Stegostoma tigrinum: one gene and its partner. The protein of the gene in region 1 interacts with the protein of each later gene in a pairwise test. Links are inferred from orthologs where the notes say so. Each region holds a gene or a part of one and is shown on either strand. Other genes may lie near its edges.

Evidence for each region. The genes of interacting proteins can lie anywhere in the genome.
Region 2: the proteins of gad2 (region 1) and lipid droplet assembly factor 1-like interact in binary tests that used the Homo sapiens proteins (3 or more experiments, as listed by UniProt). The two-hybrid records come from large-scale screens. The link is inferred for Stegostoma tigrinum from reciprocal best matches to the Homo sapiens genes GAD2 and LDAF1.

What each region holds. Positions count from the first base shown.
Region 1 is NC_081355.1:122,691,370-122,698,377, forward strand, and holds the start of gad2 (glutamate decarboxylase 2), read left to right. Parts: upstream 1-3,938; 5' UTR 3,939-4,766; coding exon 4,767-4,836; intron 4,837-5,846; coding exon 5,847-5,906; intron 5,907-7,008. Other genes in the region: myo3a (myosin-IIIa), read left to right, coding at 1,179-1,284. UniProt on the Homo sapiens protein: Catalyzes the production of GABA.
Region 2 is NC_081376.1:49,103,029-49,111,007, forward strand, and holds the start of lipid droplet assembly factor 1-like, read right to left. Parts: upstream 3,049-7,979; 5' UTR 2,926-3,048; intron 2,637-2,925; exon of another isoform or gene 1,835-2,636; intron 1-1,834. UniProt on the Homo sapiens protein: Plays an important role in the formation of lipid droplets (LD) which are storage organelles at the center of lipid and energy homeostasis. In association with BSCL2/seipin, defines the sites of LD formation in the endoplasmic reticulum.

The DNA.
Region 1 (7,008 bases):
GTGCTGACTATCCCTAATCAATTTATTCTTTTCTAGATGATTATGAATCCTATCCCTTATAACCTTTTCCAACACTTTACCAACAACTGAGGTAAGGCTCACTGGTCTATAATTACCAGGGTTGTCTCTACCCTGCTTCTTGAACAGGGGAACCACATCTGGCATTATTCCTGTAGACAATGATGAGTTAAAGATCAATGCCAAAGGCTCGGCAATCTCCTCCCTGGCTTCCCAGAAGATCCTAAGATAAATCCCATCCGGCCCATTCAAGTGCTGATCAATCTGCAATACTATCTAGGTTGTTTCTGATATCTGACATTTCAGATAGCTTTTTGTTTGTAGTAGCTCTGTATCTATTGCACCTGAAAGCAAATTCCTAGTGCAATCTTTATTTTCTGTCATTTATTGCTCCAAAATCAGCCTTACTCCTATCTTGTGAACAGATGTTGATGATTTTCCTTCTGTCATTTCTATATGCTGCTACTACTATGTGAGAGTCATGAAACACAGTTAGGAAAACATAGACAAAATGCCAGACCATAAAGTAGCTGACCAAAATTGCTTCTGTTTCCCAATAGGAGGTAGAGAGCAAACATTATCTATCCATGTTTCTAAAAATTGATCAGATTATCTGTTTTCGCTTTTATCTGGATTGTGCTATCAGTATTTCCTTTCATCCTATTTTGTTTGTATCAATAGCTCTGATTCATACATGTGAAAATGTGCTTGCCAACGAGAATTCCCTGTCATAGTCCAGCATCACCAATGTTTGTTTAAATATTTTCTAATCAGCCTATACACCTCTGTAGAAGGTGGGACTTGAGCCTGGGCCTTCAGGCTCACAGGTGGGGACACTGCTGCTGCACCAAAAGAGACCCCTTCTACTCCCTGCCTCCCTCTCCCAATTTCAATTCATATCAACTTTAACTCTGATAGATGTTTCTCAATTTATTTTCAAACAATAACAGACATGATATCTAATCCTGGTCTAGCTTCATTCCATTTTCTTTCCAGAATTTTTCATTGATTGATGTTTCTTAATGTCTACCATCCAGTTAAAAAATGGTATTATTATGACTGAGTTATACATAAGCATATAGTTGATTAAACATTTCCAATCATGTGCATTCTTGCTTGTGGTAAATATACTGCTAATTATTGCATTTTATTTCAATCAGCTCATCAGCTCCAAAAGAAGGCTGTCAAGATGAAGATAACCCATATGACTATAGGAAATTGCTACGAAAAACGTCCCAAAGGAATCGTCTTATTGAGCAGTGTTAACTTTTAACCTTGCGGTTTTTTAAATTATGTACTGTTTACATACATTTCTGGAACTCTCCTATAAGCTCACTATTGTACATATGTTCATACTGTGCAGTAACAGCAATAACACTTGTGTTAGTAGGTTACTTGAGTGTAATCTAGGAGTAAAATGTTTTGTGTTGAATCATTATCTGAAACTTTCCTTTGAGCATATTTAATGTTCTTTGTGAAAACATAAAGCCAAATATTAATTTTTCCATATGGAGAAGTGAGTGAAATCAGTTGACTCATGTTATAGTAATTTAAATAGAAAAATGTTTCAAATGCTCAGGAAATAAACTAAATTGTAAAATTTTAACCCAAAATGCATCAATCTCATATTGTGCCTTACTAAATTAGAGCCTCTAATATAAAGTAAAATATTATGGAACCTGGAAATTAGAATTAAATCAGAAGAACACCCAGCATGTCAGGCGAAGAGAGAGACAGGATCTCTGTGCAGAACCCACCATCAAAGACAAATGCACTATCCAATCAACATTATCAGTTCATCCTGCTAATCTAGTAAATTTCCCTATGAAGCCAGTTAAGAAATTGCCTTTGAAAGCCCCATTATATTAAGAAAAGAGCTATTCAAAGAGCTAAAGTCTTTAGGTGGCCAGCAACCTGACTGGGCAAGATGAGAACTGTCACTCTCGGCTGTGAGCTGTGATGGTATCTCAAGATGGAGGTGCCTTCTGAGGAAACCAGTTCATATATAGCCAGGCTGTTGGACCATCTGTGGGAAGGTTAGAGGAAGTGGACAATTAGAAGTGGCTTCACCGGACTGTCTACTCCAATCTCCTTTAATCTCAGTGGGGGCTCATCGGCCATTAGTAAATTCTGGCAGTGCTACAAAATTGCCTGTAAGTCAACGCCTGGCTACTGCTGATCAGTTCTCTGTTTCTGCCAGGCAAATCATTGATGCTGGACACACCTCCCTGTGTACAGATTACTCAGACATGGGAATATATCAGGGAACCAATCGAACATGGAACTCTGGGCCCATTTTCACATTTTTCTTAAGTTTCTGCTCAACCATTCAGATTGATCACTTTCCTCAGATCTGTTCCAAATTTTCATCACCTTGAAAGGCAAATGGCCAAGTCATTGCCTTTTCTCAGCTATCTGAATGAGAGTGCAAAATGGAATAAAATGCAACAATCATATTTTAATTACTTTGAGAAGTTCATCAGTGTTTAATTTTCTGGGCTATTTCCTAACACTTTTGAATTTTAACTTCATGAATAGTTTTGACCAGTGATTTTTTTACACATTATTTGAAAAGGAAATTGGAAAAGAGAGGAGCCTGGGAGTAGGATAGTATGTGCATTGACTGCTGAATGGACACAGGCTAATGAAACTGAATGAGATCACAATTTGTGGTGATTTTCCTGATCTTGTCTTGATTACAGTGGAGAGTGGAAGAAGTGGAGAAGTTGACTGCCACCAACTTAATGGGCAGGGAGGAGTTGGTATTAACAGACCTGAAGACTCCATCCTGCCATTAAAAAAAGTGCAAGGGCAGGAAAACATTGTCCCCAATGAGTCATCTAGAGAAATTTACCCTGAATGCTCCTCTGATATTTCATTAATCTGTCCATAGTGAATTGCCCCCTGTCAGTGTAGTTTGTCAAGTTTTGAGCTGCCGGCTCTGGGTGCCTCCCACCATCGTCCATCAGAAAGTGTGTTCATTGGTGGCTGGTGAGGAGCTGGCCCCAGAAGAACAATTTAGTCCATCCCACTGCCAGCATTGGAAAGAAGGCCAGAAGTGTTCCTGTACTCCGCAACCCTCAGGGCTCAGAAGTCCCGAGTAAAACAGAGTCTTAAGGTCGATGAGCTTTCTCTGCATTTTCCTGTCATTTGCCACCTGTAAAATGCTTTGTGAATTCCAAGCGACTTCATTTGTGGTGTGTGCATGAAGGAATTTCGTGTTTTAAAAACATTCAAGTCACGAACTGCAGAGCTAACAATAGCATTTGAACGAGATGGGTACTCAAGAAGCCAGCTGTTTGTTCAATTTAAACATTTGCTTTAGCCTTTTTACACTGGTATATATAAACACTGGTTCTTCCCAAAATGCATCAATATTGCTTACGGTTGTACATGAAAACACTGCATAAATGTCTTGTGACTGTGCCGGCTCACCCAGCACAAGAAATTCGATTTGAAAAATGTTAAACTTGTTTTTAATCGGAGCAGGAATTTTTCGGTGCACCTGAATAGGAAATAAGTACGAAGTGTCGCACTACCGGCCCTTTTCCTTGAAAGGAAACGCAGATCGTAAAAATTGGTAAAGTCACGTATCTATTGTTATCTTTGTCTGATGCACAATGCCAGATCACGAACAGGGAGTTCACATTGAGATTTCCCATACAGGCTGTAATTACAATGACAAAGCATGTCGCCCACTTGCAGCAAGCGCCGTGTGGAAAGCGCTGCTTGTCACTGGAGGCTGGAGTGCATGGGGTCTTTGTCTGTAGCTGTCTACTCTCTCGCTCTCTCTCTCTCTGGCTGTGGCAGCTGTGACTGACGTGAGCTTGCACAGCAGGAGACAGAGGCGGGGAGGGAGGGAGTGAGGTCTCGCCACGCTGTGGGGTGGGGGGTGGGGGCGGAATGCCAGTGTTGTCATCCACGACGGACTCGTGACTCCTGCCCGCATCCCATGCTCCGGCGACCACGTCTCTTCATACTGACTGAAAGAGTGACTCATTCAGATCCACAGCCCACCCTTCCCCGGATTACGTCAAAACATTGAAAAGACCCCCTCCCCAACTCCTACCCCCTTCCACCAAAACCTTTCCAGAGAAAGAAAGTTTGTGTTTCAGCTCTGAATATATTTCTGAAGCAGTCTACCGTACCGTCCCGCCTTTCTCTACCTCTGCCCTTTTGCGCGCCAAAGTGACGCAGATGCCCAAAGCGCCAGATTTCGATGCAAAGTAGCTCAGATCGAGATTGATTAGCGCTTTGGGAAAGGAAAAGGAAACCCTGGAGCCTTTTCCCAAGGAATATCTGACGGAGTGTGAGCAAGTCTCAACCAGTGAGCTCCCTTCCTCCTCCTCCCCTTCCCCCCTCCCCCAGTCTTGTTAGCTGGTGGCTGGGAGAAGCAGCACTGTCCCGCGCTGTGTGACAAGCATCACCAGGGTGTAAGGCAGTTTCCTCCTTACAGGAGCTTGTAAGAGAGGGAGAGGTTCAGCACTACGTCCCGGACAGCTCCCTGCAAACAGGGGCTCGTGTGCAAGAGCGAGAGATTCAGCACCACATCCCGGACAGCTCCCTACAGACAGGTGCTGGTGTGAGCCGGACAGGTTCAGCGCTAGGTCTGGGACAACTCCGTTCCGACAGGTTCTGCACCAGGTCCAGGATTGCTCCCTCCTGCTTGGACGTGGCTTTGAGCTCCGGATGATAAGCGCTACCACGTCTCCAGCAGCTCCAACCTCTCGAATCAACCCAGCGTGGAAATGGCATCTCTCGGGTTCTTCTCGAACGAGTCGGCACAGCGAACCAGTGCCGGAGACAATTCGACTGCAGGTAAATGAAAGGCAACACGTGTAGGAAGATATTAAAAGAGGCGGGGAGGCAGAGAAGGGAGGGGAGGGGGATGAGTTCAAGGAATGGAAAACCTCAAAGCACCGATCGGTTTGAAAACTGTTGTCCCCTGGATGACAGGACAAAGTAGACATTCTCATGAGAACTGGATTTCGAAGTAATAAAATGCACGTTGAATTTTATTGAGCAGTTTTCTCTCAAATGGATTTGCTCTATGTTTACAGTTCAGTGACAGCAAACTTAATGGGTTTGGATTGTTTGGCGAATAAAGCTAGTTGTTTACTTTTTGGGTGAAATGACCCAAACGATACGAAAGAAATCGACAGAATCTAAAAGTAATAATTTACTTCTGCGATAGGAAGCTTATTTTGATTAAAACAGGTTTTGTTTTGATTTTGTATACATTTCTTCAAATTGGCATACTGGATATTTGTCACCTCCAGCTAAAACCTTCAAGGCAAAATTATCTCAGCTTTTATAAAAATGACAAATTTCAGAAGCTTTACTGAACTGTTGACAAATAATGTCTTAAAGAAGCTTGTCTATTGCAATCATACAAGTCCAGGGCTGTGTAGTAGAGGGAAACTGAACAAAATGATCTGATTTAGACACTCAGAACTTTAAAAACGTGTGGGAGACATTGCTTTGATTTATAGTTTTTATGTGACTATTTTTTGAAGGGTGCTACAGCTTTGGTCCATCATATGTGCACGTCTAACACCCTTAAACACCATTGATGTCGCCGTCTTATTGCACACTCCATGAATTCCCGCTGTTGTTCACAGACAGGTGTCAATACACGTTCTTTTTTTCCACAGGAATATCCACAACAATATTGTATCTTGTGTACAAGTTGCCCCATCACATTAGCTTTTCTATGACTGATTCAGACTAAACTGAAGTTACATATTTTCTTCTCGAAATTGAAGCAAAAGGTTGACTCAAAATTAAAAGTAGAACTTAATACAATTCTAATACTTTGTGTTTCACAGCCCCAGCCTGGTGTCAGATAGCTCAAAAGTTCACTGGCGGCATCGGAACAAAGCTCTGTGGTAAGCGTGGTTACATTTCTCATCGGTTTGCACGAAGTTAGGGTCAACTTTACCACATAAAAACGCGAATGTGGCAGAAATATTGAATCGTTAGAGTTGCGAGGGCTGCCAGTCTGATTGAGTGCTTATAACGTATGGTTGAAGTGGCCTAATGGACTGAGCTCTCCTGCCCTCTCCACCCACATATTTAACTACTCACTGATTTCAAAGTATCAGGCAATCTGTCCATTAGTTTCTCCTGGCTCAAAGCAAAGCTGTCAGTGCCAAAAATAAAAGATCAATCCGTGTATTTGAGAGTTATTTGTTTAACTTTGCCTTTAGATGTACACAGAGATTAATTTCTCATGTAGCTTCGATGTTGCATTGCCTTTTAAAGACAGAACGGACTCTGAGCACACTGATTACGGCGAATTGGTTGGTTTTACGTTACAGATGGTGAATCCAGGGAGCTGCTTCTTCATGAAATGACAAAAGACGTGATGAAACATAATATACCAAAAACTGGCTTCCGGGCAACAGAAAAGACACCTCCAAAACACAAAATATCATTTTCAATGCAAACATTCAAACCGACTGAGTAGTTGTGCAACAGAATTAACTTGATAATACTTGCAGATATCTGTCTTTATTCTTGAAAAGCATATTTTTAAATTTTCTATTAATTTCCAAAAGTTGTTGCTTGTGAAATGTTATGCACCATTCTATTAAGAACTGAACGCAATTCAAAGGAATCATTGTCAAAGTTTAATGTCCAAAACTAAACAAAAAGAAATCAAGAACTTCAAAATGTTTGAGCCCTGTATTTATATTTAGCTTCTTTCGATCATAAAGCAGAGGTGGAAAATTTGCTGTACTGCAGCAATTATCTAATTTTATAGAAGGAATTATAATGCATCACTGTACTAAATACTACACGTAAATTTGTCATCAGCCACCTCATGTTTACAGAATTGTAGAAGTGATCTGGTGCAAAAGGAGGCTATTTAACCCATCATGTACATGCTGGCTTTTTAACTGAGCATCATTATCTAATGCCAACCTCCTGCTTTTTCCCTGTGTCCTTGTATATTATTTCTACCTAAACAGTTGTCCAATGCTTTCT
Region 2 (7,979 bases), on another chromosome or scaffold:
CTTACATATGCAGTCCATAACCATTCCAGCTCATGTGCACCCCCAGCATGCAAAGGTATGACATCTTTTTCACCTTAAGACTGCAATTGTTCCAATTTTCTGACCTGAAATGTGAACTTTACAAAAAAATCCTGATTTCTTGTAATATATTTTCAACAGATACCAACTACTTCCTGTGAGCAATACTGGTTGCTATGCATTACTATAAAATCTGGAAAATTACCGAACTCAAGTCATTGTTTCGAATTAGCTGTCAGAAAGGCTTAATTATTTAGCCTGCCCTGGTTCTGCCTTTGTATGTGATAAGATTTTCTATTTCAGTACAGCAGAGATGATATATGTGTGTGGGATGTTGGGGAGGGTGAGGGCAGAGATTTGTGAAAACTATTTATAATCATGAGGGAGAGCTTGAACATGCCCTGCTGATACAGTGGCAATATTAATGAGAAACTTTTAAATGGAAATAACATCTAAAATGGGTCTTAAAGATTTCAAGTGAGGAAATCTGAATATTTCCTTACACATCCTGTTCCAATACTGCAAGATTGTCCAGGAAAAGGAAACAAATTGGTTTGTGCGCATATCCACCCCAACCAGAGGGTACCAGAATGCATATGTACCAATAAGGAATAAAAGTAGGCTATTTATCGAGTCATAGTATCATGCAGCATCGAAACAGACCCTTCGGTCCAGCTGGTCCACGCCAACTAGCTCTCCCAAACTAAACTACTCAAATTTGCCTGCATTTGGCTCACAATCCTCTAAACCCTTCTTATTCATGTGCCCGTCCAAATGTCTTTTAAATGTTGTAACTGTACCTGAATCTACCTCTTCCTCTGGCAGATCATTCCCACTGTGTGAAAAAATTGCCTTTCAGGTCCTTTTAAATAATTCCTCTCTCACCGAAGGGTCCCAACCTGAAATGCCAGCTTTCCTGTTCCTCTCATGCTGCCTGGCCTGCTGCGTTCCTCCAGCTCTACGCTGTTTTATCTCTGATTCCAGTGTCTGCAGTTCTTGCTATCTTAAAAATATGCCTTCTAGTTTTGAACACCCCTACCATAAAGAAAAGACCTTTGCTATTCACCTTATCTATGACCCTCATGATTTTATAAACCTCTATATGGTCACTCCTTAGCTTCCTATGATCCAATGTGAAAGTCCCAGCTTATTCAACCTATCCTTATAACTCAAATCCTCCAGTCTTAGTAACATACTTGTAAGTTTGTTTTTGTATCCTTTTCCAATGTAATAATATCCTTCTTATTAGCAGGGCTACCAGAATCGTACGTAGTACTCCAAAAGTGGCCTCACCAATGTCCTGTACAACCATAACATGATGTCCCAATTTCTATACTCAATACTCTGACCAATGAAGGCAAGCGTCCCAAATAACTTCTTCACCAACCTGTCTAAATGTCACACCCCTTTCAAGGAGCTATGTACTTGAACCTGTAAGCCTTTCCAGTGTTCGACAACACTCTCCAGGCCCTACCATTAACTTGGCCCTTTCAGCCTGCTCCACCATTCCATAAGATTAAGGCTGATCTGATTTTAACCTCAACTCCAGATTCTTGCAGACCCCGATAATCTTTCATTCCCTTGGTCATCAAGTATCCAGCTACCGCCTCCTCAAACAACATGTAAAGATTCTGGGATAACAAAACGTGAGGCTGGATGAACACAGCAGGCCAAGCAGCATCTCAGGAGCACAAAAGCAGACGTTTCGGGCCTAGACCCTTCATCAGAAACTCCTTTTGGATAAAAGTAATTTCAGAGACTCTCACTCATTTCACCTCCACCAACCCCCCCCCCCCCCCAACCCCGTCCATTTTAAATGAGTGATCTGTTATTTTTAAACCGTGACCCCTAGTTCTAGATTCTCCCACAAGAAGAAATCGTCCACCAGGTCAAGTTCTCTCAGGATCTTACATCTTAGAAATCATCTTTGACTCTTCTAAACTCCAAGGCCTTGTTGTTTCCGTCAACTCCCATTGGTCCGCTGCAGATTTTAAACAGGAAATCCCTGGATCCCCGGACAATTTGTCATCAATCTCCCCGAGACCAAGACATCTCCTCGGGAGCTGGATGCATCCTCCACGCCGGGGCCCCGCATAGCAACTGGAGGAGGGGCGCGTAGCAACGGGAGGAAGGGGCCTCGCTTAGCAACGGGAGGTAAACCCCTTCCTCCCTTAGCAACCGGCTCCGGGACCGGACGATGGCGGTGGTCGGTGCCGGGAACAGACAGCGCTGAAGCCCGAAGGAGTCACTCAGATCCTTGGCCTCATAACGTCGACATTTAACCCACCTTCTTCCTCCTTCGGGGTCGCTGAGGCCTAGCTATTCCCCATCCCCACCTCCCGGCCGCCTCGAGCTGTGGTCTGTGGGGGGAGGAACAGTCCGCTCTGAGTCCCCTCCGCGTATTTCACTTTGACACAAACCGACGGAGAAACCAAAAATAAAAATGCATCCCGAGCCCCGGAAGCTGAGGTGTCGATGTTCCGGATTCCGAGGGCCGGACGAATGTGTTCTGCTGTTTAAGAGAGCTCGCAGTACAGCAGGGTAATGTCAGAAATATTGTTAATATATTTTCCATTCTGTTTGATCCTTGATGTGCTGTGTCCTTCTTTAAAATGGAGGAGACACTTTTTCTCTGATGACACTGCGGCTCAAGGCATTATTTGCTTAGGGAATTCTCATTTTCTTCATTCTCCCCTCATTTTCCTCTCACTCATTCTCCCCCTACCACCCATTTGAGAATTCTACTCCCATTTGGTTTAACTTCCTCGCACTGTCGCTCCCATTTCTCCCAATTTTCTCTTTGTACATTAGAATTCTCACCCATTTCCCCTATTTTCATTCCATTTGCGAATTAATTTCTATTTATTTCCAATTTCCTCTCACTTATGGATTTCTACTTCGCATTACCTCCAAACACTGAGGGAGACGGCAACATTGTCTGTCGGCTGCCATGTGGCCCCAAGGTGAACTTGGCAACAGACACCGAATCCAGTGATCCACACAGAGGTAACAAGAACCTGCACCACAGGATTGGTCTTAAGCTGGCAGCAAAAGTGCACCATCTGAAATTACCCCAGGCCTAATCGTTTTGTTACATGTTCATGATCCTGTGCCGATGGAAAATATTTGATTACAGCCTCATAAAATCTGTCCCCAATGGAAGATGATTGAAACTAACGTATAAAGACAAAGTCTTTGAAAAATTTGCATTTATACAACATCTTATCACATTTATCAAGATACGTTTTGAAGCACTTCACACATAGTAAATTACTTCAAGTAAAATAAAAGTTTGCAATCCAGACACTTAGACAAGTACTGCCACTGTTTTTCTTTGATTAAAGCTGTACAACTTTTAAAAGTTTGTTTTCTGGGAGTCAATTGTGAAAAAATAGTTCCTTGTTCCAGAGATTGCTCTCTCGCCACCCCCTTTGAATAATGGGCACTGTTCTCTTGTTCTTTCTTGGCCTGAAACTAAAAGAAACATAGCCCTATTAGATAGCAAGAACTGCAGATGTTGGAGTCAGAGATAACAAAGTGTGGAGCTGGAGGAACAGGAAAGCTGACATTTTGGTTCGGGACCCTTCTGAAGAAGGGTGCCAACCCGAAACGTCAGTTTTCCTGCTCCTCTGATGCTGCCTAGCCTGCTGTGTTCCTCCAGCTCCATGCTTGGTTATCTATAGCCCTATTAGATATTGGAATTACCATGAGTCATTACTTTGCATCTTTAGTCACCGCATGACAGACATTGCTGCAATGCAGCTGACCTGTGCTACATATCGGGCACCTACTAACACATCCCTTATGGAGCCATGTACACCTGTCCCTAACAGCAACAGAACGGGAGGAAAGATCCACAATTGTCATGTTGCATTTTATCTACTTGATTGGAGATTGAAATTGCATTTTCTCAATTTTCATGTACTCCCACCACACTTAACCTCTCTGTTCAGAAATAATCAGAAGTGCTTTAAACCGAATAAGAATATTACTACAGCAAATTGGGTCTGTTTCACTATTAGGCAAAACTGACTTGGTGGTGGTATTCTCTTCTCTGAGGCAAAAGGTTCAAATTCAACTCAAAACACTTGAAAGACTAATCTATGCTGACACATCAATGTACTACTGAGAGTATGTTGTGCAATTGAAGATTCTATCTTTTGAAAAATACTGAGGCACCCTCTGTCCATCTCAGGTGGACTTTAGATTTCTCAGGGAAAAGACAAGATCATAATAGTGTCCTAGCCAATATATATTCCTCCACCAGCATCTGAAATTAATAATTGTACTTTTTTTCCTTGCTATTAGTGGAATATTTCTGTGCACAAATCAGCTGCCATGTTTCCCCATGTTGCTGTATTGACTAACTTCAAAAGTACTTAATTGGCGGTAAAACACTTACTGCATCCTAGGATTGTGCAAGATGCTATATTATTGCAAGTTTTTCGAATTGAATTTGTGGATTTTTTTTGTTGCGTCAGGGGAAAAGAAAGCTGATTTGAAAACACTTAATACTACTGTTTGGAATCAATAAACTAAATAATTTCTAAAATTATTGAATCATAATCAAATATGTGATTATATACTTAGAAATTCTTTGGAGCTAGGATTCATTCTGCCTGAGTCCAGTGAAAGACATTTACTATACTCTTGCAAAAACAACTTGAGCATGTGTTTTAATGAAGAATGACTCCAATGAAAAGAGAGAGAACTATCAAAGAGAAAGCATTCTAAACTCACAACCCACAACAAATGTAATTAGTACTCCATTGCCTTCAATTGCAATGAAACAATACTACAAAGGAATATTATGAACTGTTAGGTACAGTTTTTACCACAACCTAATTAATATCAGTATGTTTCACTGTAAACATGGTTAGAGCATGCACATTTTTTATCTCACTCATGTGTTGCATGGACCTTAGCCTGTGGGTTGTAAATTGTATACTGCAGATCATAATGATTTTATTGCAAATAATTAAATTATGGCTGTTGTGCACAACCAAATATCCATTTGAAAGATATGTATAATACAGGTGTAATTCGTGTTGCTGTAGTTTGATTTTGGGTTCACCAATGCACAAAGTGTGCAATGGGGCTTAACACCACACAGACCAGCACCATGTCAAATGACAGCTTAAAATATAACAGTTCACTAATGGAAAGGGAAGGAAACTGCCATCCTCACCTCATCTGGCCTACATGTGACTCCTGACCCACAGCCATGTGGTTGAGTCTGAACTGCCCTCTGGGTAATTAGGGATAGGCAATAAATACTGCCTAGCCAGCGATGCTGCCATCCCAGTAATGAATTTTTAAAAAGTGGCTTGAGGAAACTGGCATGCAGCATTTCTGCTAAATAACTGCAGCATTCTCAGTAGCTAAAATCACAGTGCGGGGATTTATAAGAGTATTAGACTCATAACCAGAATTCTAACTGTTGAAATTGATTTTATTGCAAATTTGTCTAAGCAGTGTTGAAAAGTGTGGATGCTTACAAATAAAGCATAGTATGGGAAAGGTGCCAGTGTAGTTGGACTCAAGGAAAATTATGTCATGTTTTATAAAATGGGCTAACTACTAGGAAAATTGTGTCATGTTTTATAAAATGGTCTAACTAGCAGTAAAAAGCCAAGACCTTGAGGCTGGCTGTAAGAATTGCTTGTGTATGTAAAAACTCATGATTGCAATGTCAAGGTCCCTCTAAGAAATAGTATCTTGTAGCTTTGAGGTAAAAGACAGTCATACACAGTTGATGTGACAACATTATGTAATGTGTGATACCATACCATTATGTGTCAGGAAAGTGGGCCCTCACATAGGACTGAAGGTAACTGAGATGGGGAAGGGATTGATTGGATAAATGCCAAAGTAAAGGGGATCCTGCCTTTGTTTCTATGAAGCAGAGAAAACTAGAAAATAAAGAGAGAGACAAGGGAGAGGAAAAAAGTGGGAAACATAAGAAAAAGTTAAAGACTGGAAGTTGAATGAAGTGAAGTAATTGTGTATTTCTCATTCAGTACATGAATTTTGAATTATTGCTGTAGCCTAAGTGAAAACTAATAATCTTTGTTCTGATTTTATCTAATTTCCAGAATGATTGTTTTCAGAACTTAAACTTTTCAGGTCCACAACTTCCCCTCTCCAACTGAAAATAGGGATTGAATAAAGGCCCAGAATTGGAGTACAGATATATCTTGGGAGGGTTGTAGTGCTGGAAGAGATTATGGTGGACCAAGGTTTAGAAGGATTTGTGAAATTGAAAATTGTGAATTCAAGGCATTGCTGGACAGTAGGCGTTGTAGATTAGGGAGCTCAATGGTGATCGGTGAACAGGACTTGATGCATCAGGAAATGAACAGCAGAGTTTTGGATGATCTCAAGTTTATGGAGAATAGAACATGGAGGGGTTGACCTGGAGCTTGTTGGAATTACTTAAGTATAGTGGAAACAAAGACATGGATGAGAGTTTCAGCAGCGGATAGGTTGAGGTAGGGTGGACTTAGGGTGACAGTGTGGAGATGTATGTGGTGGTCTTATTGATGGTGTGGAATGTGGCCAGAAATCACAACACATCAGTTTTGTGATTGAATATTCTACCTCAGACAATTATATAGAGCGATAGAATCTCTTGTGAGGAAGTTTGTTACAGGCACTGACAATAATAGGTGTGTTCTTACCAGTATTTTGTTGGGAGGAGATGTCTGCCATCCAATACTGAATATAGGACAGATAGCCCAACCATTCAGAAACAGTGAAGGGATGATGAGGCTGGGTCAAGTGATATTGGCATGCACACGGAAGTAGACCCTTGTTTACTGAAGGACTGCATATCAATGAGAAATGACAGGGGACCAAGCATAGATTTTTCAGAGTCACAAAATGTGATGAGGAAGAAACAGGTGGAGAAACTATTCCAGGTGAATTTCTGGTTATGATTGGATAGGTAAGAACAGATCTTGACTGTTGTCCAGCCTCCCTCAGCTGGACAACAGTGGGGGAAAGTAGTGTAATCGACCACGTCAAAGCTGCAGATGGCTAGAGAAAAACAAGGACCTTTGTCGTGGTAGCATTGGGTGTCGTTTGTAATATCAAAAAGAATTTGGTTTCTGTGACAGTGAATTTTCATTGATTACATTATGTATTTTTCCTTAAAATAACTCACTAATAACTCAGACAACAAGCAAAATGAACGTCATTTACAAAATACCTTGCAAGAACTGTGACAAACACTACATTGGACAAACAGGCAGAAAGCGAGCCACCAGGATGCATGAACATCAACTAGCCACAAAAAGACATGACCCACTATCACTAGTATCCTTACATGCAGATGAGGAAGGACACCACTTTGATGGGGACAACACATCCATCCTAGGACAAGCCAAACAGAGACACGCACAAGAATTCCTAGAAGCATAGCATTCCAACCGGAACTCCATCAACAAACACATTGATTTGGAGCCCATCTACCACCCTCTGAGAAAAACAACAGGAAATGACACCATCAACACAGGAAATGACATCACCAACCCAAGGAAACCTAAACAGATAAATAGAAAGCGGGACATAACACCAGCGCTTCACCCACTGGGTGGCCCACTGATGATGGTAATGAAAGGTCTGAAAACGAACCTTCCAGCTCAGCGAGCAAACTTACATCCAGAACCTCAACCTGAGCTACAAATCTTCTCAAAACTTGCTATAACTAACTAAAGTTCCTTCAACAGCAGCTTCCAAACCCAGCACTTGAGAGACAAGGGCAGGAGATATGCTGGAACACTACCACCTGCAACTTTCCCTCCAAGTTGAAGCTGCACACTGTCCTGACTTGGAAATATATTGCTGTTCCTTCAGTGTCACCGGGTCAAAATCCTGAAACTTCCTCTCTAACAGTGCTGAAAATGTCCCTACACCCAAGGACTGCAGCAGTTCAAGAAGGCACTTTGCCACAACCTTCT